Linked DNA regions of Callithrix jacchus. The protein of the gene in region 1 interacts with the protein of each later gene in a pairwise test. Links are inferred from orthologs where the notes say so. Each region holds a gene or a part of one and is shown on either strand. Other genes may lie near its edges.

What was found.
Region 2: the proteins of keratin, type I cuticular Ha8 (region 1) and TXLNB interact in binary tests that used the Homo sapiens proteins (3 or more experiments, as listed by UniProt). The link is inferred for Callithrix jacchus from reciprocal best matches to the Homo sapiens genes KRT38 and TXLNB.
Region 3: the proteins of keratin, type I cuticular Ha8 (region 1) and CCDC146 interact in binary tests that used the Homo sapiens proteins (3 or more experiments, as listed by UniProt). The link is inferred for Callithrix jacchus from reciprocal best matches to the Homo sapiens genes KRT38 and CCDC146.
Region 4: the proteins of keratin, type I cuticular Ha8 (region 1) and MAGEB4 interact in binary tests that used the Homo sapiens proteins (3 or more experiments, as listed by UniProt). The link is inferred for Callithrix jacchus from reciprocal best matches to the Homo sapiens genes KRT38 and MAGEB4.

The regions. Positions count from the first base shown.
Region 1 is NC_133506.1:91,822,063-91,829,439, reverse strand, and holds the end of keratin, type I cuticular Ha8, read right to left. Parts: intron 7,304-7,377; coding exon 7,221-7,303; intron 6,433-7,220; coding exon 6,276-6,432; intron 5,921-6,275; coding exon 5,759-5,920; intron 5,681-5,758; coding exon 5,555-5,680; intron 5,050-5,554; coding exon 4,829-5,049; intron 4,271-4,828; coding exon 4,156-4,270; 3' UTR 2,902-4,155; downstream 1-2,901.
Region 2 is NC_133505.1:146,035,719-146,043,947, forward strand, and holds part of TXLNB (beta-taxilin), read right to left. Parts: intron 7,293-8,229; coding exon 7,098-7,292; intron 5,308-7,097; coding exon 5,188-5,307; intron 265-5,187; coding exon 190-264; intron 1-189. UniProt on the Homo sapiens protein: Promotes motor nerve regeneration. May be involved in intracellular vesicle traffic.
Region 3 is NC_133512.1:72,896,309-72,904,537, reverse strand, and holds part of CCDC146 (coiled-coil domain-containing protein 146), read left to right. Parts: exon of another isoform or gene 1-893; intron 894-2,154; coding exon 2,155-2,228; intron 2,229-3,154; coding exon 3,155-3,382; intron 3,383-4,630; coding exon 4,631-4,817; intron 4,818-8,229. UniProt on the Homo sapiens protein: Essential for sperm flagellum biogenesis and male fertility.
Region 4 is NC_133524.1:31,132,944-31,141,171, reverse strand, and holds MAGEB4 (melanoma-associated antigen B4), read right to left. Parts: upstream 5,156-8,228; 5' UTR 5,020-5,155; coding exon 3,979-5,019; 3' UTR 3,426-3,978; downstream 1-3,425.

The DNA.
Region 1 (7,377 bases):
CCACTTCATTCTGTTGTTATTATTCTTGGAAGCCCCTTAGAAGCAGAAATTTTGTCTTACTGCTTTTGTCTTATTCATCTCTAACTCCCAGTACAGCACTTAACATAACAAAGCACTCAGTTGATAAAAATAGAAGTGACTAAATGAGCTCAGCTCTGGAGCAAATCATACTCAGCATTATCCTTCACGGTATCTGGTGCATGGTAATACCCGGTAACTATGTGCTGAAGGAATGCCTGCGTGCTGCGTGCACAGACATAGCATAAAGCCAAACCAGGGCATGCTGCACCAACGATACAAAATCCCTGACTTCCAAACTCTGTGCTGCCAAGTCAAGTCAGAATTAAGGCAAGACTTGTTTTCATTTAAAAATATATTTATTTATTATTGTACTTTAGGTTCTGGGGTACATGTGCAGATCATGCAGGATTGTTGTATAGGTACATACATGGCAAGCTGGTTTGCAGCCTCCATCTGCCCATCACCTATATCTGGTGTTTCTCCCCACATTATCCCTCCCCACCCTCCCCACTTCCCACCCCCTGCTGTCCCTCCTCTAGTACCCCCATGTGTTGCTCCCCTCCCTGTGTCCATGTGTTCTCATTGTTCAACACCCACCTATGAGTGAGAACATGCAGTGTTTGATTTTCTGTTCTTGTGTGAGTTTGCTGAGAATGATGGTTTCCAGATTCATCCATGTCCCTGCAAAGGACACGAACTCATCTTTTTTTATGGCTGCATAGTATTCCATGGTGTACATGTGCCACATGTTCTTTATGCAGTCTATCGTTGATGGGCATTTGGGTTGGTTCCAAGTCTTTGCTATGGTAAACAGTGCCGCAATGAACATACATGTGCATGTGTCTTTATAATAAAACGATTTACAATCCTTTGGGTATATAGCCAGTAATGAGATTGCTTGAAAAGTCCTACAGAACATTCAGAGGTAGATCACATTTAACTTTGCATTTTAACCCATGTCCTTTTATGAAAAGAAGAGAATTATATAAATTGGCTGTCTGGTCGCCTTAAAGCCCACAACTGCTTCATTCCACCACTCGCGCAGGCAATCTCTGGCAAGAGAAGAGCCAGCTCATTTGGTTTTACATCACTGGGAAGGGCTCTTCTCTGGTAATGACATACTCTGCCTTCAAGAGTTGATATTTAACCCCTCTCAGACACTGATAATGACACTTTAAATGGTCAACACAGACAAAGCACTTCGCAACAGTTTGGGTAGCAATGAGCTCAGGGTAGGGTAGCTGGTTCCGGGAACTGACTTTCATAGCTGTCCTTCTGTAAGTCTTGTGCTAAATAAACGCAGGTCTGTCTCCTTTCCAAATCACACTGTGTCAGTGACCCTGTGTGTGAGAGACAGGGGCATCCAAGGCTTACATTGCAGGATCTCCCTTTAAAAGGCAGCTCGGAGCCACTCGAAGGAACACAGATGAAACACTCAGGTGATGTGACACAGCAAGAGTTGATCTGCAGCCAGAGCAATCTAGGTCCAAGTCCTGGCTCAAACACTTCCTAATTGTGTATCTTCAGTCAAGTGATTTAACCTCTGTGAGCTTCATCTTTTAGAAGCAGTTATGATGTCTGCCCTATAAGAGCTGTAGTGTGGCTCTCTGTTCTCAGAGGGAAGAGACTGCCTTTAACACCAGGCAAGAGAAACCACTGTTGTATAAAACTCCATTTGAAAACCATAAGTTACTTTCAAATGTTTATTTTAACAATCAAAGAAAAGGAAAGCAAAAGCAGGCTCCAGGTGATGTATGTGCTGCTGTTGGTAGTAAGGCAGGAAATCTACCAGGTACCGTCAGGAGACTGGGGCTGGCCTGAAGCAGGAGACTCTTTCCTAAGAAGCAGTATCTCCAAGGGGCGACATCAACACAACAGGTCCCGTGTTCATTTGCTTCTCTTCTCAGAAAACGTCACCTGTGTAGAGGGAACCTTCTAGCTCAGATCATGAAGAATAAGAAAAAAAAAAAGCAAGCCAGTTTCCTGAAAGATTTCTGTTCTTGCCTCATAACATAGCCTAACCTAGTCAATCAGCTTCAGAGAAAATGGCTTGGTAGCATGAGAGAGTCTTCCAGAAGGACACACCTTTACCACCAGGCCCACATTTAGCATTTAGCACCACAAGCTGGAGCCCCCCACATGCAACCAGACAGTTCCTTCTCTAGGAAAAGGAGGCTGGCTTGAACCATGCCTTTACCCTCACGTCGATGGTCCACATCTCATCCATTTCTCTTTGTTGCATTTTCTCCAATGAAGCTACAAGTCGTGATGAGGAGGGAGACCAAACTCAGAGCTTTTTCCAGTGAAAAATAGCTGGTAATCGCATTCAGAAATTAGGAGCACAAATGGGCCTAGTCTGCATTCACCCAAGTCTCCAAATTTAAGTTCTGCAGAGATCATAATGGCCCTTGAAATGACCGAGTGCCTCACAAGACTTAGAAGATTCTGCCCCTTCAAGCAAAGTTTTCTCATTCTTTGGCCTAATGCAAATACTCAAATATAGTTTGCTCTGGGAAGTAAGTTATTACGTGCACCATTTGTTTCTGATTGAATTTAGATGTTAGAGGAAATTTATTTACCTGCCTATAAGAAGAAGCCTGAGGTCATGGGTGGCCCTTAAATCTGGCCATGTGGGTCAGCCCCTGCACTCCTTAAACATTATACAATCAATATTGGCTCTGGGTGAGGATTTTTGGTGTGCTCTCTCCTTTTCAGGGTATTTTTATTTCTGTTATCTTAGAATTCATCACAGACCTGGGATATAAGTATGAACAATAACATTATCTCTGTTTCGTAGCAGAAAAAAATGCTGAGGCTTAGGCGTGTGAAGCGATGATTCGAAAACCCCGTAAGTGAGAGATAAAGTCAGGACTAGAAACATTCGTTCTTACAACAGATATTTATTAAGCATCCATTATGTACCAAGCAGTGGGCGAGGCTCTGGAGATGCAGTGTGAACAATTGCTAATCTTGAGTAAGCATTTTGATTGGGAAAACAGTAGATACAGAGGCAAGTTCAGCTGTTGGAGGTGCTAAATGAGCAGGACAGTGTCGGGTGTTGTGAGTCCTTTACACTGAGAGTCAAGCAGGAGCTCTCAGAAGAAGGAAACTTGCAACTGACCTGAACATTTATAGTGAGGGGGAAGAGCACCCCAGAGAGAAGATGAGCAGGGACAGGTCTCCAGCCATGTCCAAGGAACAGAAAGGCCAGCGTGGCTGAATCATGGTAAGAAAGATAGAGAGTAGGAAGAGAAGAGGTGGAAGCACATCAAACCTAGCAGTTCTCCACCTGTTAAATCAACAGGTTTCAGTACTTCAGGAGGAAATACTAGGAAAAAAAATGAAGTTGTTGTTTGTATTTTAAACTAGGAGAATTAGATAGGGACAGGGGTTATAGCCAGACAAGTCTTGAGAGTCGGAATTTATAGAGAAAAAAAAGAGACATTTCTTATGAAAGTTCCTTTCACATAGCAAGAAGCTATGTAAGCCATATGTAAGAGGCTGTTTTGCCACAGAAAAGGAAAGTCTAGTCCTTTGTCAAAGCTAGAAACCCTGACGTAGAGAGAACTCAGGATTTGATACCAGGAAATGTTCTACTTAATCAGCGTCCAAGGTAGGGAGGCAGAAGGATAGAAGGGAATTAGAAAAGAAAGGGTCAGGTACAATTCCGGTTCTATTTCCCGCTCCCTGATGCCATAATCCAGGTTGGCAATGTTAAAAACAACCCAAGAAACATGGCGAATCTCAGACAGGGAAGCCTGTTCTTCACTTCCTTTGTCACAAACTATAAAGATTTTTCAAGTTAAAGTTGGTGTCCTTGAAGTGCAAGTGCAATTTTAAATGATGCTGTACTCCCACTCCAGACACTTTTTCAACCTTACATCTCTCCAATCCAGATATTCGGAGCCACCATGGGTGGTTGGAATCCATCCACTGAGGGCATAGAACTCATCTGGGAAAACCAGAGCTGGAAAGGAGGGATTTCACATCAAGATTCCACTGTCCCTGGTGTCTCATAGCCTTTGGACAGGCCTATACATACAGAAAGTTAGAAGCCAGATTTTCTAAAGGTATAACAAGCATCTCTCTCTGGGTATCCCTTGCCTGAGCCAGCCCCCACGGGTCCACAGGCATTCAGAATCGGCTTCCGGTGCTGGCTCCACAGGTGGTGCTGGGGCCACAGCTTGGACAAGGAGCACATGCGGCAGCCACACAGGAGGGAGGCGTGGAGCACGGATTACAGGGGAGTCTGCAGAGAGAAAACGTGAGTGAAGTGAGAAGCAAGGAATGAATGGGGTCTCAGTGCCACGTGGGGGCATGAGGAAGGGGTCCCCACTGCAAAACCAGAGGACATGGACCCTGCTGAAGCCTGTGACCATTAGCACCGAGTGAGCACCTCCAGGGTTAGACTACATAGGTGATTTCTAAAAGGTCTTACATGATTAAAGGGATCCTATAGAATAAAAATTCCTAGGAAGAATTTAAGAAGAGAAAAGCACGTCCAGAAATTGGATCTACTGCCGGATCAGTAGTCATGTCTCCTGTTTGAGCAGCGACCCCGTGTCTACTCTCATCAGATCATGGCTACCTCAAGCAGCCCCCACGGAGACCTGGTCATGTCCTCTAAGCGGATGGTCATTCCCTTCACTCTGTCGACCATATAGAGGGTGCAGGACCAGGCAATGACTCACGGAAAAGGAGTGCACAGAGAGCCTCGTTCAATGGAGAGACAGCCCCTCTGCTGCCCTGAGGACCTCATGAGAACTGGGTCAATGATTTGGCCAGGAATTGCCCAGATCACACGTACTTGCAGTCCTCACTCTCCAGAAGGTTCCGGTACGTGGCAATCTCATTCTCCAGCCGGGCCTTCACGTCCAGCAGCACCTGATACTCCTGGTTCTGCCGCTCCAGGTCAGCTCGGATCTCAGACAGCTGCTCCTCCACGTTGCTAATGAGGCTCTGCATCTGGGCCAGCTCCGTGCCGTAGCGGTCCTCGGCTTCACACAGGGAGTTCTGCAGACAGTCCTTCTGTAGTGGGAAATAAGGGGATAAAATACCCAAGACCCCCAGAGAAACTGCTACATGCCCCAGATTTTGATGGTGGTAACAGTAGCTAAACATGCTGCATTGCCAAAATTCACCTAGCCCAGGGCAAATTCCAGGAACTCATACCCCAGAGCCCTTGATAAATCAAGTTGACAGTGAACAAGTCTTTTCCCAAACCAGCACTGCCCCCAAAATTTAATTGGCTTCACGTTATTCATCTCTATATTTGCAATACCCCCAAAAAAATTAGAACTCAGTAAATTTTGGTGCATTTAATGCCTTTTCTTAAATATGTTTTAAAAGAGAGATTGTTTTGTTAAGCTGTGTTTCTGAATTTGACCTGATCTTTACAATAAAGACAAAAAAGAAATTCACAATCAACGAGTTTGCAGATGGGAGAAACCTAGATAGTGAGACCTACAAAATTAAATGCTATCAGGCCGTGGCACGTGGCGTTTGCAGTGCAGTGAGGGTGAAGGACACGTACCAAGGTGTGCTGGGCTTGGCGCTCCACCTCCAGGGCGTTCACCGTGCATCTCAGCTCCAGGATCTCCGACTGGCAGCACTGAATCTCCTCAGAGCAGGACATGGCCTGCAGGCTGATGCCTTCAGACTGGAGCACAGAGAGGCACAGTCACCTCCCTGCCCAGATGGAGGCCAGATGTCCCCCGGCTCTGTACCCCCTGCTCACCTGGGCTTGGAACCACTGCTCCGCGTCCTGGCGGTTGGTCTCCACCATGGCCTCGTACTGAGCCCGCATCTCCCCCAGCACCCTGCTCAGGTCAATGGTGGGCTCAATGTCCAGCTCGATCCGGATCTTGTCCCCTAGCTGACTCCTCAGAGTCTTTACTTCCTGCAGAAGGGAGGAAGGCACAGACAGTTTGTGTGAGGAGAGGGCCTTTGATGGAGCAGACAGCACCAGGACCCCACCCCTGGCAAGCAGTAGGAGGGGAGCCCCATACACAAGCAAATGGGAAAGTCTTGCCCAGAGTGCAGTCGGGAGAGCCCACCTGGATGCCTTCCTTGTGCCCAAGGCAAGTCTGCACCTTCCACAGAGGCCCTCTGAACCCTCAGACCCACCTCAGCCCTGCATGCTGATGCCAGCTGAGCCCAGGTTCTGCTCTGAGAGCCCCAGGGCCAGGGAGCTCCCCTATCTGCCCAGCACTGCCCGCCCCCCACACCAGGAGTCTGAGCGGCCAGGGCTGTACCTGCTCATGGTTGCTCTTGAGAGAGAGCTGCTCTTCCTTCAGGGACTCCTGCTGGGCCTCCAGGTCGGCCTTGGCCAGGGTCGCATCATCCAGGAGCTTCTGCGTACCACACATGTCCGCCTCCACCAGCTGACGCAGGGAGCGCTCACTCTCCAGCCTTCAGTCACAGGAGGTGCAGGGTCAACAAGAATTCCACCAAGAGCCCCTCTCGGCTGCCCCGGGTTCCCACCTCCCACACCACCTTGGATCCTCATTTGTTCACTCTGTTTAGCTCTCTGGCCTCAAAGGTGAATTAGACACAGCCCCTCTTCTCAAAGAGCTGGTGGTCTGATGAAACAATCACAGCACTACATTGCACAATATACATTTTTGCCATTGTATTCTGTGGCAGCTGCGGTTCACTAAGATCAACTGAGTTGCCTAAGATCGTGTGTCTTGGGACCCAGTCCAATGCTCATTCCATTGCAGTGGCCGTCAGTTACCAAAGATAAGCAATAGCCAGGTGCCCGGTTGTGATCCACAGCTCCTTATCCCTTGCTTTCAACTGTCTTCCCCTCTGGTTTTTTCCTAAGTATCTCATACCTAGTACCCTAGGACTGCATAGTTAAATCTGGACGAAGACTCATCTATGACTCCTCTGACTTATATATGAAAATGAATGGCTGTCTTGCTCAGTTTATCCTTGAAATCACCTCATTTTGCTCCTGGCTAATGAATTTAGGCTGCCTCCATGTTAGGGAAATAAATGAAGGAGGAAAAACATACATGGTTGGATTAATGAAGGGTTTTCCCTTCCATCTTCTATCCATTTTGATTGTAATGAAACTTTTACTGGGGAGAATCTAGCAAGGGAGAAAGGACAATGATTCACTCACTCAACAAGTATTTGGGCATTGGGATGGAGGATGGGGAAGGAGTCATCCTGGCCTCCTGCACCGGACTTACTTGATCCTAAAGTCATCGGCAGCCAGCTTGGCATTGTCGATTTGTACAATCAGCCTGGCGTTCTCAGCCTTGCTGCACAGGATCTGAGGAAAACAGGAAGATGGTTCACACACAAAGCATCGTACCTTAGGCTCCCACTCCACGTGTGGTGTCTATG
Region 2 (8,229 bases), on another chromosome or scaffold:
CATACATATAATATTGTGCTTTTATTTTTACTTAAAAATAGTAATACATGTGAAGTTGTTCTTCATTTCCAACTCCCATCCCCCATCCCCTGCCACAGATGAGGCCTTCTGCCACCCACCTTTGGCCCCGGCCTTTGTATCTGGGCACAGTCAGGACAGCGCCCCCATGCCTTGTCCCCCTGGCCTCACCTGAGCCTGCAGGACTGTCTCTTGTTCCTTCAGCACTTTGGCCTGAAGTTTCCACTCTGCCGCCTGGTTCAGCAACTATGAGAAGAGTGTGTGGAAAGATGGTCAGATTTGCCTTTTAGATACCATTTGGCTGTAACTTGCCTATAAAACTTCATAACCTGCTCAGTCACCTCCTTAAGTAATTTTTTGGAACTTTGAAAACAATTTTAGAAAGCTTAAAAAAAAAAACAAAAAAAACAGGCCCAGCATAGCAGCTCATGCCTGTAATCCCAGCAATTTGAGAGGCCAATCTGGGAGGATTGCTGGAGGCCAGGAATTTGAGACCAGCTGGACTACATAGGGAGACCCTGTCACTAAAAAAAAAAAAACTACAAAAATTAGTCAGGGGTGGTAGCCCATGCCTGCAGTCCCAGGAACTCAAGAGGCTGAGGCAGGAGGATTACTTGAGCCCAGGAATCTCAGGTTGCAATGAGCTTTGATGGCACTGCTGCACTCTAGCCTGGGCAACAGAGAGAGACTCCATTTCTAAAAGAAAGAAAAAGCCAAGAAAACAATTGGTCTAAAAGAGTTGGATTCTCAACTATAAACTAGCAGTTCTAATGAAAAAGTAAAAAAGAAAAATATGAATCACACAAAATTCAACTTCCCACCACATTCTAGAACCTTCTCTAGCAATCCTGGCCAACAGTCATTCAGCCTCTGCTTGACCTCTCCAGAACATCCCCACTTGGGGCACTTTTGTCAGCAACCTTTTTTTTGGCAGGGGTGGGGGGGCGGGGGGACTGAGTTTCGCTTTTATCGCCCAGGCTAGAATGCAGTGGTGTGATCTCAGCTCACTGCAGCCTCCACCTCCTCAAGCGATTCACCTGCCTCAGCCTCCTCAGTAGCTGGAATTACAGGCACCTGCCACCATGCCTGGCTAATTTTTGAATTTTTAATAGAGACAGGGTTTTGCCATGTTGACTAGGCTGGTCGTGAACTTCTGACCTCAGGTGATCCACTGCCTCAGCCTCACAAAGTGCTGGGATTACAGGCGTGAGCCACCGTGCCTGGCCAACAACTGTTTCTTTGTAGTAAACCCAGAATTGTTCTCCTAGACCACCACTGTTGTCTACCATAGCACATGTGATATAATAAATATGTATGTCCTTGGTCTTTGTCCCTAATTCCTGACACAGAGCTTCTAACATGCATCAGAATCTCCTACAGAACATACTGAAATGCAGACACCTCTCAGATAATAGGATTTAGGAAGTGCAGGGTGTGACTGAAATCTGTGCTTAGAGAAAATGCCCAGGATGGTGTGGATATTGGTGGTCTGTAGATTACATTTTGAGAAACATGGGTTAGAAATTTGACCTATTGGTCTAAATCCTGGCCCCTGAGAGCTGATGGCTTAGATTGAAAAGGTGATTTGGGCATCAAATGACACACTCATATTAAGCTTGTAATTTTAACTTAAGATGAATGTCCACTTATTTATCAATTTTGAGGTAGGGCTGTGGTCTTTGTTTTGGGTATGTATTTTCTGATTGGAGTCCAGAGGTTTTTTTTGTTTTGTTTTGTTTTATCTTTTTTAAAAAATATCACAGGTTGTTGAGTTTGTGTATGTGCGTGTGTGTCTGTGTGTGTGTTTAGCAATAATGCTAGAACCTAAATATACTTGTGAAACAGCTTGACTGGATAATTCTCTAGAGTTTTCCACTTTCCGCCCAGTCTTTGACAGATACTCATATCTAGTTTGACAGTTGTTTTTTGCCATTTGCTTGCATTTAGTCTTTCAAAGCACTAAGCATAATTTGCACAAGCAGTTTTTTGTTTTCATACATATATTTCATCAGTTTATGTAACATCCTGTTGATTTACACAAAAGCAAGTGCAATTGGAAAGAAAAGGTTTGTGCAAAGAGCTGATTCTTGGTAAGCTCCACCTTGCTAAATGGGAGCAAGTATTTGTAGTCCTTCTAGAGAGTGGCTTGGTAGACCTGTGAGTCAACATGTTGTGGGCATCTGTCACTGTGTTTTACAGAGACCATAGTGAACATCAGAAATCAATTCGGCTAGTCAGTCTGGTGTCAACCAATTAAGAAGTTTCTTGGCCGGGCATGGTGGCTCACCCCTATAATCCCAGCACTTTGGGAGGCTGAGGCAGGCAGATCACCTGAGGTCAGGAAATCAAGACCAGCCTGGCCAATATGGCGAAACCCCATCTCTACTAAAAATATAAAAAATTAGCCAGGTGTGGTGGCGGGCACCTGTAATCTTAGCTACTGGGGAGGGTGAGGCAGGAAAATCACTTGAACCCAGGAGGTAGAGGTTGCAGTGAGCTGACATTGTGCCATTGCACTCCAGCCTGGGCAACAAGATTGAAATTTCGCCTCAAAAAGAAAAAAAAAGAAGTTTCTCTTGTATTTGGAGATAGGCTGATTTAAATTTTCAACTTTTAGTTTATCCCTGTTGTAAAAACTGTCCATGAGGTCTATGTATTACTTACTTAATCAGAACCAAAAGAACAATAAAATCATTATTTTTAAAAACTTGAAAGCATCTCTTTCCTCATCTAAGTCTGTCTTCTTCCCATGACCCAACCTCTCCATTTGTAAAATGGGTTGTATTTGTTCCTCTATGCCTCCCAGCATGCAAGGAAGGTTGATTCTCATAGAAGTGCAACTAACTGTTCCTGTGAGGGGACTGAGGCAGCTGCAGAACAGAAGCTTTACGATGTCCCCTCTGGCCATCTGAGAGGAGTGGTGGCACTGTGCCTGCTTATTGTGAGCTGGCTATGCAGCCTTGTGACTAGTGACCCCTGATCTCAAGGGAGGCTGGTGGCTGCCTGTTCTGCCTGGGTGACCTGATATCTCATCACTTCCAAAAAGAAGTGCCAAGCTGCCACCCGGGTAGGTGGTGAGCTTCAAAGAACTGAGGGGAGCTCTCTCTCTTTGACTCAAATCTGTTTTGCTGAACCAGGGCAGGGTGCTAGTTTCTTGCTAAGGCTGGGTCGTCTCAAACCTGCTCTCCAATGTCTGTCATGTGCATCTTTATCTAGTTCTTTCTCTGTCACATCTCATATGTTATATAACCAAGTACTGATATCCTATGGGAAGCATATTTTACCCAAAGGGTAATTACACCAGTGGTGGAATTTCTATTCTCTTGGATTGTGAATAATAATTGAATGTTTTATTTTTTGCTTTGAGAGCTAGGTTGTAGATGGATTTAATAAATTAATCTGTTTCTTAAGAGAACATGACTTCTGATTTGAAATTATCCAATGTCCACCAGGTTATGTTGCCCAAAATTTGTCTTTTTGCTGCCATATTTGAAAAGCTATTTAAAATTACGATTCTAACCAATTGAATTGATTCTAGTCTGATTTTAGGTAAATGAAAAGCTCAAGATCAAAATGTGAAATGGCCAAGTGTGAATAATTGGTCCACGGACTATGATTTACCTCTCTCTCACCCCAGCAACAGATACACGCTTCAACTCATATTTCTGAAACACACATCTGAGTGTGATGCACCGTCAGAGAGAATGTGGGCTTTGGGAACAGAGGCACATAAGATCGAAACACATCTTGCTTAGTCAGCAGTGTGTGACCTTAACAAGTTGCATTTCTTCTTGAAGCGTCAATTATCTCATCCGTAGAACGGCCCTACAGCTTTTTCGGGGTTGCTTGAGATTAACGAAATATCAATAAACACCACCTCTCAGTTTCCTCAGCCCTAAACTCAGGAGTCATCCTTGACTTTCTCCTTTTCTCTTTGTCACCAGCCTCAGGTCTGCAGCGCTGCCTGTTGATTTTACATTGGAAACAACTTTCATCCATCCCCACCCCTCTTCTCTGCTGCCATGTCCCTAAACCAAGTCATTGCCATATTTCATGTGGATTGCTATAGTAGCCTCCTGTCTTCTTGCTCTCTTGTCCCTCCGCAGTCTGTTTTCCACCCAGGGGCCAAATTGGTCTTAGCAGATGCAGAGCAGATTGTGTTATCACTTCCTTTGCAGAAGTACCCAGTAGTTTCCCATTATATTTAGAATGAAATCCAAATGACATTTTCAGCCCTACAAAGCTACACCATTTGGCTCCTGCTTACCTCTCCAACTTCATTTTGAACCTTTTCCCCATGCTCTTGCTTCCCTGACCTTTTCCTGTTTCTGGAGCACACCAAACTGGTTTCAGCATCAGGGCCTTTGTTGCTCCAAGTGGCTGCTCCTCATTGGGCAAGGCTTAGTTCAAGCATTCTTCCCTCCAGGAGGCCTTCTTGGTCACTCAGTCTAAAGTACCTCCCCTTCTTTAGCCTCTTCTCAGCTTCTCCTTATTTCCTTAGTAGCAGTAATTATTGTCTGAAATGACCCTTCCTTGTTTGTTTGTTTATTGCCTGTCTCTTTCCAGTTAGACTCTAATCTCCACAGTGGAGATGGCCCTTCTCTGTCTTGTTCACTGCTATATCCCGTGTTGCTTAGCAGATATCAGGCACTTGAAAAACATGTGTTGAATGGATGAATGACTATTTTATGTAAAAAGTAGTGTAGATACAGTGCCTTAGACTTGGGTGGCTAATTTAGTTTTCCATAGAAGCTGGGGCTCTTTCTCCATCAGTCTAGTGTTCTTTGATCACCATAAAAACAACTTGCTCATGCCTGTAATCCCAGCACTTTGGGAGGCCAAGGTGGGCAGATCGTGAAGTCAAAAGATCAAGACCATCCTGACCAACATGGTGAAAATCCGTCTCTACTAAAAATACAAAAATTAGCTGGGTGTGGCAGTGCATGCCTATACTCTCAACCACTTGGGAGGCTGAGGCAGGAGAGTTGCTTGAACCTGGGAGGCGGAGATTGCAGTGAGCTGAGGTCACACCACTGCACTCCAGCCTGGGCGACAGAGCGAAAGTCCATCTCAAAACAAACAAACAAACAACAACAAAAAGCAACTTGCTCAGACAGTCTCTGACACCGAGGTAGACCAGATATGCACAGAGACTAAAGTGATAAGTACATATTCCTTTTCTCGTTTGTGTTGCTCCTCTGCTTCCTTCATCATTTCCTGTGCCTGCTCGAGCTTTGCATCCACCAGCTTCTGCTGTAGTTCTCTGTGCTTAAATATTTTGTCCAGATGCTAAGAAAAATAGAGCATACATAGAAAGTTTGGTTTATTATTGGTGCTTAAAAACACAAAATAAATTCACATTAATACATATTCTCCAGGTTTTAAGATTTAAAAGAAGAGAGGGATAAATGCACTGGCATCACTTACGGCTTTATACTAAAGCTGTAGATTGGTGAACCACCCCTCCCCCCAACTTTGCACCACACACACAAAGGTAGCTACAAAAGGTAGAGGCACCAGAGTTCAGCAGTATCAATGCCAAAAGGTCGATACAATATTTTTATAAATGTGGTAACTATTAGATATGATGCTATTTATTATGCTAGACAGCACAGACAATGATGTTTCAGTATACAATATACAGGGGCTGCAGTTGTATCATTCGGTATTTTGGGTCTGTCTGTGAATATAAAACCACTTTTAATCACAACATTAGTGCAATTTATCATGATGCATTCTCCACGTTCTCGCCTCCGGAGTTGTGAGAAAGCCTTGGAGTGCCTGCATGTGGTCTGAGGTCTGGGAGTGAGACCTGAGCCCTCTGAATTCTACTCTGTTGCTCTGGTGGGGATGACAAGCCAAGGGTCACAGACAAATCGATTTGCCAGTGTCCAGCGCTCGCCACAACTTTTGACCTCTAGATTTGTTTGGTGAAGAGAAACCTCCAACTCTTCTTCAGTATGAACAACTTCCTGGTTGCTGGGAGGTCCCGTCAGAACAGGACATGGAATTCTACCCTTGAACCAGTCCCAGGAATATACAACCAGTATACCAGTCCATTCCCATCTGAGATCTCTCTGAAGTGTATGGACAGTTTCCTTTCACTCCTTCCTTTCTTCTTCAGTCTGAACCTCCATTCTGGAGCTGGATTGATCCTCGTGACAAGATAAAATGGTAGCATGGCATTCTGGCTTCCTGAGAGGAGTTTCTTGATTTACCTAACCACTGCGACCATATGCTATTGGCTCAGTTTTGTGCTTGATAAAGTCTTAGCATGTTGCCAACAGAGCCGCTTTGACTGTGTTATGTTACATTTTAAAGCAGAGATTTAAAATTTGGGTGGGATAGGGAAGGGCATATGATATATCAAAATCCCAAGAGGTTATCTGGAATCTTAAAAACACAGTAAATATTAAAATATAATTTTGGGATAACAAAAGACCTTGATTGTCACCCTAATATAACCTATTCAAAGTAAAAGGCTTTTGGCTCTTGTGACTGTGGGTAAGTGGTTTAATCTCTTAGCTTCTGCTTCCCATCTATGAGATATGGATACTATATTATTATCTAGTACATAAGATTGTTGAGGCAATTAATGCCATATGGTATGTCAAGTACAGCACTTAGCACTTTGCCTGATAACCAACTAAGCACTGAATAAATGACATCATTATTATTACAATGATTACATTATTATACGATTATTGGTCTGGTGGGGTTCGTTGAATACAGACTTAATTTAGATGACATGGCAATTCTTAAGAGTGCATGAGTTATTTTTGGCTACACAAGAGGGTTTTTAAAAGGCTGAGAAATATTATTTTCAAGGAAAACTTTGCCCACAGCCTATCACTTTCTATTTATTGCCTTTACTTTGCAGTGATGCCAGTTTTGAAGAAATCCCATGTGACTTTCAGTCAGGTATTTTGTAAGACCATCTGTCTTCATTCTGGCTAGTCAAGGAAATCCAGTCCTAAGTATTGATCGGTTGAGAGGGCTGTCTTATTAACCAAGCTCCCACCTTCACCACCCAGATCCCGATCTGTGTACTGTTCTAAGTTGTTTGATGTGGTTCTCACCTCCTCTCTGAGCTCATACTGATCGATGATGCTTTTCAGCTTTTCTGCAAGCTCTGTGTTCTCCTGACAGAGCTTCATATTTCGCTCACTCTGCTGCTCAATCTGGCCCTGGATGTCCGTGAGGGTACTCTGGAAATGACTTGTGATTTCCTTCCTTTTCTCTTCTTCCTCACGTGCCCGCTGAAGGGCCTCTTCCTGTGGATAAAAAGCAAAACATTTTGTTTAAATGCACCCTGGGTTTATAGAACTCAGGATTAGGTCACCAAAAGGAGATTAGTGTGCAGAGTAGGTGGGACTTTTTTTTCCTCAGTTCTCTAGAACGAAAGCTGCTCAGCCCCAAAATAAATGTATGAGTAAAGGTTTCAGCTGTGAGTACATAGTTACTCAGAGCAGGTGCTGTGAAGGCCTTGAATTTGTAGTCGGTGATGAATAGACTTGTTTTAAAGATGACAGGGCTCTTGCTGAGTGAATGAACGGCAGTGATTTCTAACAAACACACAGTCACACGATTTTGATCTCTTGGTTGTGGCCTGAGAAAACAGCCCCTTGAGTTTACTGATTGATGAGACAGATCATGTGTTTCTTTGGGTTGGTAAAGGAAGAATCATAGATCTTATATTTCCCTATAAAAACATGGCATATTAACCACATAATTGTATTACCCAGGTTTTGTAAATATAAGTGATCACAATAAAAATTTTCTCTTCATGAGAAAAAAACTTTCATCAAAAACCTTTTAAAAAGGAAACTAAGATAGCATAGCTCACTTACAGCCATTCAAGAAGATAAAAGGGAATATTTCCAAATATGCTAGATATTATTTTGTTTTTGAAAGAACAATCATTAAATGTGTCACGAAGGGTAATTAAAATGTTCAATGTAAATTTTGAATCTGAAAGCAATATTAAGTTTCAAATCTTCTTTAACTCTAAAGTGAAACATCTAATTTTCCTTCTTCTGCCTTGTTAACATTGAAGAATTGCAAATTAACTTTTATATCATTTCTGTTCTCTTTTCTCCTAGATCAAAACTCTCCATTCATTGCTAACCACTGACAATGAGCTCCAATTTCCTTCATATCTATATTGGGAATTGCTTTGTGATTGTTATTCTCGTTCTTTTTGAATAAAAG
Region 3 (8,229 bases), on another chromosome or scaffold:
TCGCACTTATGTTTCTGGGCAATGCATGGCTGATTCACGTGAGCCTCAGCATGAACCCCTTGGAAGACAGCAATGTGAAGCTTCTGTACAAGGTCATGAGAGAACCATCTTGTCATCTCCAGGACCTGGAGCTGGTCAGCTGCCATCTCACTGCCGCATACTGTGAGTCTGTCCTATGTGATCATGAGTAGCAGATACCTGAGGAGCCTGGATCTCGCGGACAATGCCGTGGGTGACGTCGGGGTCACTGCACTGTGTGAGGGGCTAAAGCAAAGGAGAAGTGTTCTAAGGAGATTGGGGTTGAAGGCATGTGGATTGACTTCTGGTTGCTGTGAGGAACTCTCCTTGGCCCTTTCCTGCAACTGGCACCTGGCCAGCCTAAACCTGGTACAGAATAACTTCAGTCCTACCAGAATGAGGAAGCTGTGTTCAGCCTTTGCATGTCCCACGTCTAATCTACAAATAATTGGGCTATGGAAATGGCAGTACCCTGTGCAAATCAGGAGGCTGCTGGAGGAAGTGCAACTGCTCAAGCCCCAGATGGTAATTGACGGTAGTTGGTATTTTTTTGATGAAGATGACTGGTGGAAAAACTGAAGATACAGAAACCTGCCCCACTCACACCCATCTGATGGAGGAACTTTAGAAGCTGTTGTCTCAGAGCAAGTCATGCCTGGGAGTTCCTTCTCATAGATAGAGAATGATTTCTGATTCTCACAAAGCCCTCAGTGCTAGTGATTCTTCTGTGTTCAATATACCTTGGTTACTGGATTTGAAGGCTGGTGACCTTCAAATCATAGGGCCTCAGTATCTGCAAAATATCTGTCCTACCTCAGAGCACACAGAGGGAATGAAATAAACACAGAGCATTTGGAAAATAAAATAAAATAAAATAACCCCTGGCTCCAAAGTCCAATGACATCGTCAGGCAGGAAGGGGCTGTTCTATGACCCTTGCCATGTATGTAAGACTCTTGAGACTGGAACTGAACCTCCTATGAGTCTGCAGAGCATAATGGGGGATGTGATGTTAGACAAACTTAGCTTCTGATCTTGGCCTTGCCACTTACTAGCTATGTGACTTCGGGAAACTTACTTAACTTCTTGTAGCATGTGTCTTAGGCAGGGCTCCCCAGAAACAGAGCCTAAGAGCACTACTAATGGAAGGAGAGCTCCAAGGAGAATCCTATAAGAGATAGAGGGAAGCAGGATGGAACTGGGAAGAAGCTAGGCCAGAATACAGCTGCTTCGGGAGAACTCTAGTCTCAGCCTAATCCCATGAACTCACACAGTCATGAATTGCATCACAGAAGCTGTTGCACCCAGAGGTGGTGGTAGGGGGTGTCTGTTAAATCACATCAGTTGGTAATTGGTCGCAACCTGTTCCCCTCCTCCTTCCACCCCCTGGCTCCTATTCCATCTCCTATTCCTTGACAAGGAAGCTCTGCTCAGCCAATCACAATCCAATGGAGAGGAGATTGAGCATGAACCATTAGCAGTCACCCCTGCAGTATCTGAGGGATGGGTGGGAAGACGGTCCCTGGCTTATGGTGATCCACTTATGATTTTTCTACTTTACAATGGTGTGAAAGCAATATCCATTTAGTAGAAAGAATATGTCAAGTACCCATACAACCATTCCATTTTTCACTTTCAGTATTGAATAAATTACATTTCTTGTACTGTATTCAATAAGTTATGATTATTTACTGTGTGGCACTCAACACCTTGTTATATAATAAGCTTTGTGTTAGGTGAAGTATAGACTAATATAAGTGTCCTGAGAATGTAGGCTAGGCTAAGCTATGATTTCAGTGGGTTAAGTGTATTAAATACACTTTTGACTTAAGAGAGTTTCAATTTAAATGGGTTTATCAGGACATAACTCCATTGTATGTAGAGGAGCGTCTGTGCCTTTATATAGGAATCTGGGCAGAGGAATGGTATTTGTTACACTTAGTTGCCTCCTTTCCAAAATGATAACAAATACAGCTATCTTATGAGGTCATTGTGAGTAATAAATGGGATAATTAAGGTACACAGGGCAGATGGTAAGTATCTACATATTGTAGTTCCTTTCACTTTCATATTTAGTGTTCTTAATTGCTTCTAGTCCAAGATTGCATAATTTAACATGATTTCATTTATTTACTAGGATGAATTGGCCCACCATCAAACCAGTCCGGTACAAATTGGAAAAGAGATAGAAAAAACAACACGCAAAAAAGTGTATGATTTAACGTTTTTACTTTGAGTCCCTCATAGCCCAAGTTATATGTGCACATTAAAATAAGAGTATTAACCACTAGACATGTTAGATTACTATTCTAATTTTAGAAATATCTGCTTTTGGCCCTATCTACATTGTTTATATCAAGTTTTTTAAAAGAAAGTAATGCAGCAAATTACTATAATTTGTAATATTTATGGTTTAATTATGAGTCAAGATTCTGTTGCCAATTTATAAATCACATTTTTAGGGAGAAGTTCATTTGACTTTAACAGAGCTGTGCATGGGATAAGTTATGTGAACTGGTTAGAATTTCATGGTCTAGAAGTGTATCAGCCAGACAGCAGCTCCAAGCCTAAATAATGGTAACTCCCCACTTTGCCACCCTTTCATGTATATAACACCTCTCAGATATTCAGAGTAGACTTGGAGGCAGAGGTCATTGAGGAAATTCTCAGTGTTTAGAGGAACCAAAATAGATAAAGATTTTAACTGAAGATAAAAAAAATTCTGGAAAAAATAATATGATTACTCTGGTGACTAATCTTAAGAGAAAAGGGAAAAATTAGGCAGGCACTAGTAACTGTGTGAAAAACCAGGCTCACCAACACCAAAGTTGAGAAACTCAGGTCAGTTCCAGGAGGTGGGTCAGGATGAGGGTTGAATCATAGGAGGTGGTAGCAAATTGGGATCTGCAGAGAGGGAGCCTGGACAAATGCCTGCCTTCTGTGGCACTCAGTGGAGATAGCTTCCAAGTCCCACTCATCTGTGGTCTTTACCCACTGCTGAGATCATTGAATTTATGACGATCTCTTCTGCTGCCTGGTTAGAGAACAAGAATAGGTAAAGCCAGAATGGCCTCAATATAAGGCAAACGTGTGTGTGTGTGTGTGTGTGTGTGTGTGTGTGTGTGTATCCCTTACAGAGAAATGGAAAAGAAAAAAATTGTCTTGGAACATGAAGTCAAAAAGCTAAATGACTCCCTAAAGAAAGTTGAAAACAAGATTAGTGCTGTAGTGGGGGAGAAGGAAGATGTAATAAAGGAAGTTGAAGGCAAACGAGCCTTACTTGAAATCAAAGAACGAGAACATAACCAATTGGTCAAGCTATTGGAATTAGCCAGAGAAAATGAAGCAACTTTGTTAACTGAAAGGTTAGTTATATTTATGTATGTTCTGTCAACTAAATTTTTCTTCAATTTATATTTGAGAATTCAAAACATAATCTCACTTTGGTATTCAGTCAATAAATATTCTTAAATAATTTTAAATCAGCTTTTATCATTAATAAATATATTATCAAATAAAGCACTTTGAAGTATTTTTCCATACTCATAAATTTTCTCAATTTTCTGTTACTAAATTTTCAAGACAAAATCTGTTGTTTGTTGTAAATTTCGGAATGTGTCTTTGGAAAATCATGCCACTGGAGTATGTTATGTTTAGTTCCGGGATTTTACCAACAAACGAATGATATTTCTGAGGCCATCTTGAATTTTTTCTAATAGAAGCAATGTCATGGTGTAATTCCCTATGAGAGTTTTATGTCTTGCTTTTAAGTAAAATTTCAGGGAAACTGGAGGCTTCTATGTCTGCCAATCTGTTATTATTTTCAAAAGGGGTGGTTATAATACTGCAGTTCTAAGTGATGCCAACTCACAAGCCTAGTTGCCTTGGGCATTATTTATGATTTATGATTCCAACATAAGAATAGTTATGTATGCATATACTGAGCATGCTGTCTTTCATTAAACTTTTAAGTTCAGGGTCACACATACAGGTTTGCTACATAGGTAAACTTGTGTGATGAGGGGTTGTTGTACAGATTATTTTGTCATGCAGGTTCTAAGCCTAGTATCTATTAGTTATTTTTCCTGGTCCTCTCCCTCCTCCCACCCTCCACCCTCCAGTAGGTCCCACTGTGTGTTGTTGACCTCTATGTGTCCATGTATCCTCATCATTTTGCTCCCACTTATAAGTGAGAACATGTGGTATTTGGTTTTCTGTCCCTGCATTGGTTTGCTAAGGATAATGACCTCCAGCTTCATTCATGTTCCTGCAAAGGATATGATCTCATTCTTTTTTATGGCTGCATAATAGTCCATGGTGTAGGTACCACATTTTCTTTATCTGGACATTTAGGTTGATTCTACATCTTTGCTATTGCGAATAGCACTGTGATGAGCAAACATGTGCCTGTATCTTTATGATAGAATGGTTTATATTCCTTTGACTATATACCCAGTAATAGGATTGCTGGGTCAAATGGTAGTTCTGTTTTTAGGTCTTTGTCAGAAGAGATTAGGAGCCAATATTCAGCATGCTGTCTTGATAAGTTTTGAAAAACATGTTGGACAGCTGATGACAAATTCACTTTCATTTTCTTCCTTTACCTGGAACAGAGGGATCTTGGATCTCAATTTACGCAACAGCCTCATCGACAAGCAGAACTACCATGATGAACTTTCTCGTAAGCAAAGAGAGAAAGAACGAGATTTTCGAAATTTAAAAAAGATGGAACTGCTCTTGAAAGTGTCCTGGGATGCACTCACTCAAACTCAAGCATTACATCAAAGGCTTCTATTAGAGGTGAGTGCTGTAAACTACCCTCTCATTTTCAAAGCTTAGTGCTAACTTTTGAAGTAAAAATATTTGAGGAAGTTGTTTTTGCTGCCAAAAGAGAAGAAGAAAATAAAAATAACAGAGAAAAGGTAATTTTCAAATGCATCAAGCCCGTTATGAAATCTATAGTCCTGTAATGTTTTTAAGTCTCATTTTGCTAACCCAAGATAAGAGAAAGGTCTTGTTTGGGTGAGTCATCAGTCAGCCTGACCTGGGGAAGTGACTAGGCCATCCAGTTCTAGAAGAGATAGAGGGTTCACTGCAGGATGGGGCTAAGTGGATCATTATCTTCACCAGTTGAAAGAGTCGGATCCAGGATGATGTGTGTCATGGCAGACTATAACAGTGAAGGACTAGATCAGATTACATAGATATAGATGATCAGCAGCCCGCACTTCCAACTAGCCAAGGGCAATCCAGAACCCAGTGTCAGGCTGCCTGGCTAATTCTATGCAGGGTCAGAGCTGTACTCCAGTCAGAAGATGCTCAAGACAACTGTTACCTGCCTCTGTGTTTCCAAGTGAGGTATCTGGTTGCCCCTGGCTCACTTCTCTCTCAGAAGGCACTCCCTGTGCTAAGTGACCAAGCACCACTGAAAGGGCAGAGGATCCTGGAGAGCACTGCAGCCTTGTGCTAGAGCCTTCCTCAGGTGAAAAGGGGATCAACCTCTGAGACGAAGCAGCTAGGTGTATAGAAACCTTCTCCATTCTCTTCTGGACTGTCATGCTCCAGAACCTTATAGAGGGTCATGACCTCAGAAATTGGAACAGTAGTTTCCATCTGTGGTGTATATGTGCCACATTTTCCCTGTCCAGTCTATCATCGATGGGCCTTTGGGGGTTGGTTCCAGGTCTTTGCTATTGTAAACAGTGCTGCAATGAACATTCATGTGCATGTGTCCTTATAATAGAACAATTTAGAATCCTTTGGAGATATACCCAGTAATGAGATTGCTGGGTCAAATGGAATTTCTATTTCTAGGTCCTTGAGGAATTGCCACACTGTCTTCCACAATGGTTGAACTAATTTACACTCCTGCCAACAGTGTAAAAGTGTTCCTATTTCTCCACATCCTTTCCAGCATCTGTTGTCTCCAGATTTTTTAATGATTGCCATTCTACCTGGCATGAGATAGTATCTCAATGTAGTTTTGCTTTGCATTTCTCTAATGACCAGTGATGATGAGCATTTTTTCATAAGATTGTTGGCCTCATACATGTCTTCTTTTGTAAAGTGTCTGTTCATATCCTTTGCCCATTTTTGAATGGGCTTGTTTGTTTTTTTCCTGTAAATCTGTTTGAGTTCTTTGTAAATTCTGGATATCAGCCCTTTGTCAGATGGGTAGATTGCAAAAATTTTTTCCCATTCTGTTGGTTGCTGATTCACTCTAGTGACTGTTTCTTTTGATGTGCAGAAGCTGTGGAGTTTGATTAGGTCCCATTTGTCTATTTTGGCTTTTGTTGCCAATGCTTTTGGTGTTTTGTTCATGAAGTCCTTGCCTACTCCTATGTCCTGGATGGTTTTGCCCAGATTTTCTTCTAGGGTTTTTATGGTGCCAGGTCTTATGTTTAAGTCTTTAATCCATCTGGAGTTAATTTTAGTGTAAGGTGTCAGGAAGGGGTCCAGTTTCTGCTTTCTGCACATGGCTAGCCAGTTTTCCCAACACCATTTATTAAACAGGGAATCCTATTTCCCCATTGCTTGTTTTTGTCAGGTTTCTCAAAGATTGTATAGTTGTAGATATGTTGTGTTGCCTCCGATGCCTCTGTTCTGTTCCATTGGTCTATATCTCTGTTTTGGTACCAGTACCATGTTGTTTTGATTGCTGTGGCCTTGTTTGAAGTCAGGTAGCATAATGCCTCCAGCTTTTTTATCTTTGCTTAGAATTGACTTGGCTATGCGGGCTCTCTTTTGGTTCCATATGAAGTTTAAGGCAGTTTTTTCCAGTTCTGTGAAGAAGGTCATTGGTAGCATGATTGGGATAGCGTTGAATCTATAAATTACTTTGGGCAGTATGACCATTTTCATGATATTGATTCTTGCTAACCATGAGCATGGAATGTTTCTCCATCTGTTTGTGTCCTCTCTTACTTCCTTGAGCAGTGGTTTGTAGTTTCCTTGAAGAGGTCCTTTACCTCCTTTGTTAGTTGTATTCCTAGGTATTTTATTTTTTTTGTAGCAATTGTGAATGGCAGTTCTTGATTTGGCTGTCTTTAAGTCTGTTATTGGTGTATAGGAATGCTTGTGATTTCTGCACATTGATTTTGTATCCTGAGACTTTGCTGAAGTTCCTTATCAGTTTCAGGAGATTTTGGGCTGAGACGATGGGGTCTTCTAAATATACAATCATGTCATCTGTAAATAGAGACAATTTGACTTCCTCCTTTCCTAACTGAATACACTTTATTTCTTTTTCTTGCCTGATTGCTCTGGCTAGAACTTCCAATACTATATTGAATAGGAGTGGTGAGAGGGGGCATCCTTGTCTAGTGCCAGATTTCAAAGGGAATGCTTCCAGTTTTTGCCCATTAAGTATGATATTGGCTGTGGGTTAGAGTAGGAGACTCTTAAAACCAGCAAATGTTGCCTGTACTAATAAAACAATTCCTGTTTATTGATCAAATAACCATTCAGTCAGATTTCTGTAAACAATGGGTTAAAATGTATCATTGCCTTTAATAACCAATTTTGGTAATTGTGGTAGTAAGTAAATTTAATCCATTCAGTATGTTTCTAATGCTGAATCATCAAAGCATTCCTCTTAATATTGAATAGTAAGGTAACCTAAATAGAAGGAATAATTTGTCATATAAATTAATACTTCTTATTGAGCTCAAAAAGGATTATACATTGATTTTTTTTAAATCACAAGATAGGTTCTAAAAGACACACCCAAAACAGACATAGATTCACTTCTGCAAGTAAATCTATATTAAGTACCATAGAAAGGAAGGACTCATAAACATAATATATGATGTGATCTTACCAGTTCTACTTCTAAATACAAAATGTTGTAACGGACGGTGGTTTCTGCTATAACAGCCAGAAAAATAATCAAAAAACTAACAATCATATATTTTTAACAGACATATGCAAGTAGGAAGTAAATTCCACAAAGGCATCATCACTTCCTGGTGAGCAGAGACGGGTGGCCTTTTCCCTCCCTGAGACATTTGCCAAGTCTAGGCGTGCGCAAGTGGAAGATTTGCCTGCCATAGGCAGAGAGACTTTGCTGGGGTCAGGCAAAACCATCAGAGCTTTTAATGACCATATGCATTGCCATGACAAACTGAAATTCCTTAAGCAAAGACATCATACTCTCATGTAATAATATCACACATAACAGTACACGTCTGCATTTAAACATGCCTCTTAGTTA
Region 4 (8,228 bases), on another chromosome or scaffold:
CTTGGCTCCTTGCCCTCATAATGGAAGTGAGGACGAACCACGTGTGCTGGAGTCCTCGCCTTCAAAGCAGAAGTCAGGATGAGCCACATTCGGCAGCCTGGGGCCTTTGAAGGGTGAAGGCAGGAGCATGATGCTATGGGAGGTCACTGTTCTTGTGTTGCTAATCTCTACGTACCCCCTAGAAGTCCTTACCTTAGTATCTAGCAGCCTGGGATGACTCCGCCTGCTGACCCAAATCTGCCAGCCTCCATACAATACCCCAACCTCCCTCAAACCCACGGTGGAAATCTGAGCATGCGATACAGGCCACCCCTGCCTGGGCCTCACAGGCCTGACAGCAGTGGCAGGACTCTGTGAACGTCCCTCTTTTGGGGAGAGGTCTTCCTCACTAGGACTCCCGCTCCTGCTCCGGCTCCGGTTTCCTCTCCAGGCAGAATTAGAGCGACTCCCCCTTCAGGGCCAGATGCTCTCCTCCCTGAGACCTTCCAGGCGGAAATGAGAGGCACCTTAGGCAGATAGCTCTGTCTGGTGCTTCAAAACGGGATGAACTCTGTGTGGTCTTGTCTGCTGGTGGAGTCCCCGCATAACACGTAAGAGTCCTACAGTGATTCTTGTTAGAGTCTCAACCTCTTCCCTCTGTGAAACTGACGCTGCCCCAAGTAGACGGAACCAGTCACCTCCCTGAGACTTTCCGGGCAGAAATCAACCTGCCATCCCCGCCTGGGGCTTTTTGTGAGGCCTCTTCTTAACCCTTAGTCCACATTCAGCCTCTCACCTTGACAAGTGAGCAAACCTATAACTCCACCCTTTATTTACCTGAACCTGCTCCTCTCACATAAAGGTCCTGTTTTCCTGAGAATTTGGAGTTGGAATTCTGGATGATCCTCATATGATCATAGTTCTTTTGCAACCTGCAAGAACAGATAGTAAGGACAGGCCTCAATAGAGCTCCACAGTTTTGCTCCTCGCCTTTACATGTATCAGAACCTGGGACTCCTCTGTTTACTGAACTGAGGTCACCCTCCTGAAGGGTCTAGATGAAACCTTACATTTTGAAATGGTTTTCACCCTACTATTCATTCATGAGGGTTCTCATGTTGGCTCCTGTCTCTTGATCAATGTCTTCCAGGGAAATGTCACATCTCTGCAAAAATTTGATCAATTTCCTCTTTGCAGAGCTTGCAGAGAAGAGGTCCCTGTCCCAGAAGTAATGTGACATTGGGAAACTGAAATGGAAGGTGGAGAGCCTAGGACAGATACTGTGCTCTCAGGGGAAAAAACATGCTGATCTGTTCTTTCACTTCACCAACCAAAGGGTATTTCTAAAAGACTTACTTTCTATAGAAAAGGGTGAAGCCAGATGATTTTGCAATCTTTCGATCTTTTGAAGCTATCTGATTTTGCTTCTGTTGATGATCATATTGTCACCGAGTATTATTTCTTTCTGTCTTTAACTTACATGTGTCAATTATTTTGGTATTATCCTTGCTCTGGTTTTGTATTCCAATCAGTGTTTGGGGCATAGACCTCTTCTTTGTTACCTGAGATACACTTTGGGTTAGCAGAAGAAAATGAATTAAGCAACTTGTGGTAAGCTTCAGTTTGGGAGGAGTGGAACAGTGTGGACTCTAGAGGAATTCAGATCAGCAGTCTAGTTTCAGCCCTATCACTTACTAGCTGTATGAACTTGGGCACATTACCAAACTCTATGAGCCTTAGGCTCTGCATCTGTGAAATGGGCTTGATAAGCCTTGTGATGTAGGACTGGTGGAATGTGGTTAACATGTGCAAAGCCCTGGAGTGCATTGAGACTTTAAACAATGCTTATTACTATGATTATTTCAACTACAGAAGAAATCATCTGTAGTTGATTCAGAAGAAATCTGCTGATTTTTTTTAAGCCCAAGTGATAACAAAGAATATACAACATTCTAAGACATGAAACTACAAATCAGCCCAAAATGCAGCTTACAAAGAAACTCTAAGTATCTTTTCCATACTGAATCATAGTTTGAGTGTGGAGTTGTCTTTCTCAGCTGAAAGCAACTGAAACCTTCTAGGGTTTGCTTCAAAGACCAACTCTAGCCTTTCATACAAACCACCCTTATATTCATTTATTTTACCATCACCAAAAATCTAGATGTCCCTTAAAACTTCCAAAACACATGAAAGAAAAGAAAAATGAATGCCCTTTTAATGGAATGGATTCTGGCTCCCCAGCTGATGGCAGAGTATTAGCCCAGTGGCATATGAGTTTCCAGTCTTAAAGGAGTAACACCTTTATTTCTCAGAAACACCCCGGGGACTATGTGCATAAAACACCTAATCTGTGTACTGGATTCACTTGCGCTGGGACAAGAGCACAGGCCATTTTCAATCCCTACCCCAGGCAAAGATTTCCTCTGTTTTTTTCCACAATTCCAAAGTAACTTTTAAGGGCAATTTTTCATTCCAGTCTCTAACTCTCAACTCTGAGATCCATCATCTGAGTGTGTGACCCCCCTGCTCGGTGCGCCCCATCTAGTCACTATGCAGCAACATAAAATTACCTCCTACTGCAGTATGTTCAGTTTCCCAGAGTCTCAATTACCTTGCTTAGGACATTTACACTAGATTCTTCCCCTAGAAACACCCCCACCTTCTTATATCCTCTTTTCAACTGTCTTTAGGTCTTAGGGACTATCTCATTACCTTCATTATGTGATAGCTGCTGTTGAATTCTAAAATTCTATGGACAGGGTTTTATTTTTTTTTAATTTTTATTTTTTTGCTTATCCAGTGCTAGCTAGGAGCCCTCTGAAGAGTAGCTGCTCAATTAATATTAGGACAATTAAAGTGCAAGTGAGCCGGAAGTCAAATGTATTGCTATTTAATTTCTCCCACATTCCTGAGAAAGCTAACCCAATCCAGATACATATACTTCAGTTTTACAAAGAAAGACTAAAAGGAATAAAACAAAGCAAGAATTGACCACATTTTACTTTTTTTTCTCTATTTCATGATCCCACCAACTTTATTGCTAGGTAATTTCCTTTTCACAAATTCTGTATTCTAATGTCATATTGTCTTGTTCTAGATCACAGAAAAAGATTTAAAGATTTTAAATTGTTTTACATAATGCAAAAGTTCTTGTTCTTCAACCTGACATATTTTAATAAATGAGTTTTTCATGCCATTCATAAACTTAGATTCTGAAACTAAATAATTCTACAATTAAAAGAAAGAACACTGAAAAACAGGAAAATGAAAAGATAAATCATTTTACATACAAATATATTATATATGATGTTCCCACCAACTCCTCTTTGGCCCTCTATTAATTAGAAGGTTAATATTTTCTTTAATTAAAAGTAAAGAATATACCTCAGACTTCACAAGGAGTGGATGACACTGTTGGACATCACACTGGAACATGCCAGGAGCAGTTGCAACACTGTCTCCCTCATCTCTCAAAGTCTTCTCTTAATAGAGGGAAGACAATGGGGACACTGTCATTGACCTTGGCCGAAGCCTCCACATTCTTAAATAATCTAAGCAAACCAGGTATGTAACTTTCAAATTTATGAACAACAAAAGACTAAAAGTAGTAAGATAAATCAAAAATAAAGCAACTTTTGCTTTTCTTCTCTTTCTGTCTTCAGATTCTTCTATTTTACTGTGGCGTTATTTTAAATTTCTAAAAATAACCTTACTCCAACGCCATGTTATTTTGCTCTGTATCACAAAAACGATTTTCAGATTTTCTATTTGTATTTCAAAAACCAAACTCTTATTACTAAACCAACCTGATAAACAGAAATAAGTGTGTGATGCATGCCATTTCTAAGCTTATATTCTGAATTTAAATAACCTTTCTATTTTAAGAAACATCACAGGAAAATTCAACAAAGAGATATATCACCGAGTTATTCATGCAGCACAGGAACAGCAGAAGGCAGCAGGTCTTTCAACTACAAATTGAACAATTTGCCTTAGATCTCACATGGGGTGGGAAGAGCTGCTGGATGTGTCCCTTGAATGTGCACTAGTCATGGCAGTAGTGCCACGCCTGGCTGCAACTCTGGGCCGGGCTTTGGCTTTCTCTTCTTCATCTCTCAAAGCCTCTTCATAAAGGAGTGGGAAGTTACTGGGGATGGTATCATTCACCTTGGCCAAAAACTCTAGGACTTTCATCTTGCTGGTTTCAGCATAGGCTCTTGGACCCCACAGGAATTGATAGCGTGGGGGATCACTGTTGGGCACCTGCTTGTACTCCAGATATTCTTCCTGCACCAGATCTTGGGAGATAAGCTTTCGGGCATCCCCAAAGATGATATGCCTCTTACCATCATAGATCCCCAAAACATTCAGGAATTCCCAGATTTCCTCTTCACTGGCACAGTTGCCACTTAAGAAGATCACACTCAGTAGAGGCATCAGAAGCCCATTCCTTGGATATTTCCAGGAACTGCTCTCGTTTCCATCGTTGGTGGGATTCAGCAAGCTGACAATGGTGTAGGAGTGACTGGTCGGGTTGACTTCCTTCAAGGAAAGGCCAAAGACCAGCTCCATGCGCTGAGAGGCTCTGCTGAAGATCTCAGGGAAGTGCTCCTTGTACTTTTTGCTGATGATCTTCAGCATTTCTGCCTTTGTAGTGGGCTCTTTCATTTTATACTTGTACAGCAGGAACTGCACCAACATCTTCGTCTTCCTGGTTATAGGATCTTTGATTGAGCTCTCAGTGGATGTTGAGGCCTGGAAGGAACTTGCCTTTTCCTCACCTTGGCTCTTGTCACTTTCATCAGATCCAGTGCATGACATAGCTGCAGCACCAGTGGTGGGTAGTGCTCTCTGAGGCCTCTGCAGAATGCCAGCAGCAGGGGAGCTGGAGGGAATATCCCCCAAAACAGATGAGGAAGAGGAATGAGACTCTTCTTTCTCTGCTGCAGTGGCCTGAGCAACCTTGGTATCCTGGGTCTGACCACGGGTCCGCTGGCGTTTCTCACGGGCACGGAGCTTACTCTTCTGACCTCGAGGCATGATAGCTGTGATTAGGCACAACAGGTAGGAGAGTAGCCAGAAGGGCAGGTGATATGGTGCCTGGAGAAGAGAGATTGAGATCCTGAGAACACCTTTAGTAGGCAGATACTACCTTGGCTTTTCAGAAACCGTCTCTGCAGGATTCCTTGAGAACACTGCTCTAAGTATTGACTGGGCTATTGTTCTTCGTCATTCTGTCCCCTGAGAACTCAGCTGAGGAAGTTACAATGTGCCTTAGGCTGCAGCTTGCCAACCCTGCTGGGGGCTGACTGGGTTCTCTCTGTGTTCTGGCTTGGAAAGGATCCACTCTGATTACTTTTAGAATTATCCTGTCAGCTCTTGGCAGGGCCTCAGCCTCCTTCTATTGGTGTTGTGAAGTAGAATCTTTAACTTTCTATGGGACCCAGATGAGGGAAATGTAGGGGCACCTCAACCCACCACCCCTGCTTCGAAGCATTTAGTGCTCTCTGTCCTGGGATCCTCAGGTCCCAAGTTTGCACTCAGTTTCCTCATCTGGACTCCATGCAGGGTTGTGGACTGTCTCTTCTGATGACTAATAACTGCGACTTCAGACCAAGAATTTCACCTTTTCTAGTTCTGACATAAAATGTGATGGGCATCTATGAAAAAAAAATTGATAATCTGGGCTTCACTAAATTATAACTTCTGCTCTGGTAAAGATACCACAAAGAATAAGACAACTCCCAGATTGGGAAAAATTTATTTTCAAAAGACATATCTGATAAAAGATTGTTAACCAAAACATACAAAAAATTCTTAAAACTGAACAATAAGAATGGACCAACCCTATTAAAAATGGGCAAAAGATATAAATGAGCATCTCAACAATAATATATACAGAAAGTAAATACGTACATGAAGTGATGCACAACATCACATGTCATTAGGGACTTGCAAATTAAAGTAATGTGAAACCACTCCATACCTATAAGAATGGTCAAAATCAAAAACTCTGATAACCCCAACTACCGACGAGGATGTGGAGCAATAGGAGCACACTGTCATTGCTGGTGGACATGCGAAATGGTACAGCCACTTTGGAAGACAGTTTATAAATTTCTTACAAAACTATGTGTAGTCTTATCATATGATCTAGTAACTGCACTTCTTGTTATTTAGCCAAATGAGTTGAAAAGAATGTTCACAAAATAACCTGCACACAAACATTTATAGTAGCTTTATTTATAATTGCCTAAACTGGAAAGCAGCCAAGATGTCCTTCAGAAGGAGAGTGGGTAAATTAAGAGTATAAAATATTATTCAGTATTAAAAGGGAAAGAACTATCAAGCCACAAAGAGACATGGAGGAAACCTAACTACATATTACAAAGTGAAAGAAGCCAATGTGAAAAGGCAACACAATGCATAATTCCATCTATAGACATTCTGGAAAAGGCAAAAGTGTAGAAACAGTACAAAGTTGAGTGGTTTCCAAGGGTTGGGAAGAGTGAGAGATAAATACATGAGGCACAGAGAACTTTTAAGGCAGTAAAGCAATTCTGTCTTAAATTGATAAGGTGATAATGATGTGTCCCTGTATGCTCAATTGTAACAAGTGTATTACCCTGGGTTGGGAGGTTGATATGAGGGAGGCTGTGCCTGGGAGGACAGGATGCCTGTGGAACTCTCTGTGCTTTCTGCTCAGTTTTGCTGTGAACATTAAACTATTCTGAAAAAAGAAGGTCAAGTATTTAAAAAAAAGTGATGGTGAAGCCTCAGCCTCACATGTTGCCCTGGCAATTTAAGATTTATGCAGGGGGCTAGAGTCTGTTGTCCTCTCTATTTAGAGGTGAGCAGCCCCCTCAGCTCTCACTTGTTTTCCTTTATTTGGCTCCTGGAAGATCCTGAGGCTCCCCTCCTTTTTGACCTCAAGACCTCTCTGTTTAAAAGGCCTGTACCTCCCTGAGATCTGATAGGAGGAGGAGAGGGTGGCCTTATCTGGCCATAACTGACTATGGTCTCCCAAGAGTGGCGGCTGTGGTAGCCAGGTTGAGGTCTTATGGTGGATCGTCCTACTCAGGTCCTAACTCAGGATCCTAAATCTGACTCACAGGAAGGCTTAATATTCCTCCCCCTGCTGAGCTGGGACTGCCCACCTCAGAACAAGACCTTCACTTCTCTGTTACTACTGATGATATGAGGGTGCCTCTGTCTGACATTCATGCCTGAATCTCTCAGAGATGACAATAGGGAGGATTCTGTGGGGTCTACACTGATAGGGGTTTGGTGGTTCCTGCACCCTTCAGGGTACTCACTTTACTCCTGGCACACCTTAGGAATCCTATCTCTATGGACCTGAGTCAGCTAGCCTGAGATAATGGTCTTTAACTTCTTAAGACCTCCGGAGTAGAAATTAGGTTCAGCTACATCCTGTCAAGACTATTGGGGTGAATGCTTCCCTCATTCTTTATTCAGGGTCCTCAACTTGGTACGTGTCAGAGAATGGGACTCCTCCCTCTACTGACCTGAGGTCCAAGAACTCACAAGTCCCTATGAACTTTGAAGAATAAGTGAGGAGATGCTCAGGCTAAGAACTGTGTCTGGCATGTTGCTCTGCTCTGTCCTCCTATATGAGGGTCTTTTTCTTGGTTCTTGTCCCTTAATTAATGACTTCCTGGGAAATACCACATCCCTTAAAAGTCTTGACCAGTTTCCCTACAACAAATCTTGCAGACAATGCATCCCTGTCCCAGGAGTGATGTAAGATGGGGAAGCTGTAACACAAACAGAAGCCCCAGGATAGAAGTCATACTGTCAGAGAAACACATTGATCTATTTCTTCTCTTTACCAGTCTCTTATGTATTTCTCTTGGAAAGTATTTAACTTCCTTAAAAAATGGGGGGACTGACCAGAATGACAGAATGTGAGCCCATGATCCTTTGAGTTTATATGTATTTGATTATGCAATCATATTGTCATCAAATATTGTCTTTCTCTCCTTTATTCACACGTCTCAGTCATTTTGGTGATTTTGTTGCTTTGGTTCTGTATTCCAGTCCAGCAAATTGGGCACAGAATCTTATAACTTGATGTACATTTGGGAGCAGTGAGAAGAAAAGTGAGTAAGGGGACACAGTCAGTCTCAGGTTGTGAGGCATGAAGCAGAGTGTGCTTTACACTCATTCAGACTAGGGGTCTTGCCCCAGTCCTGTCACTTACCAGCCATGAAAAAATTAGGCACATTAAC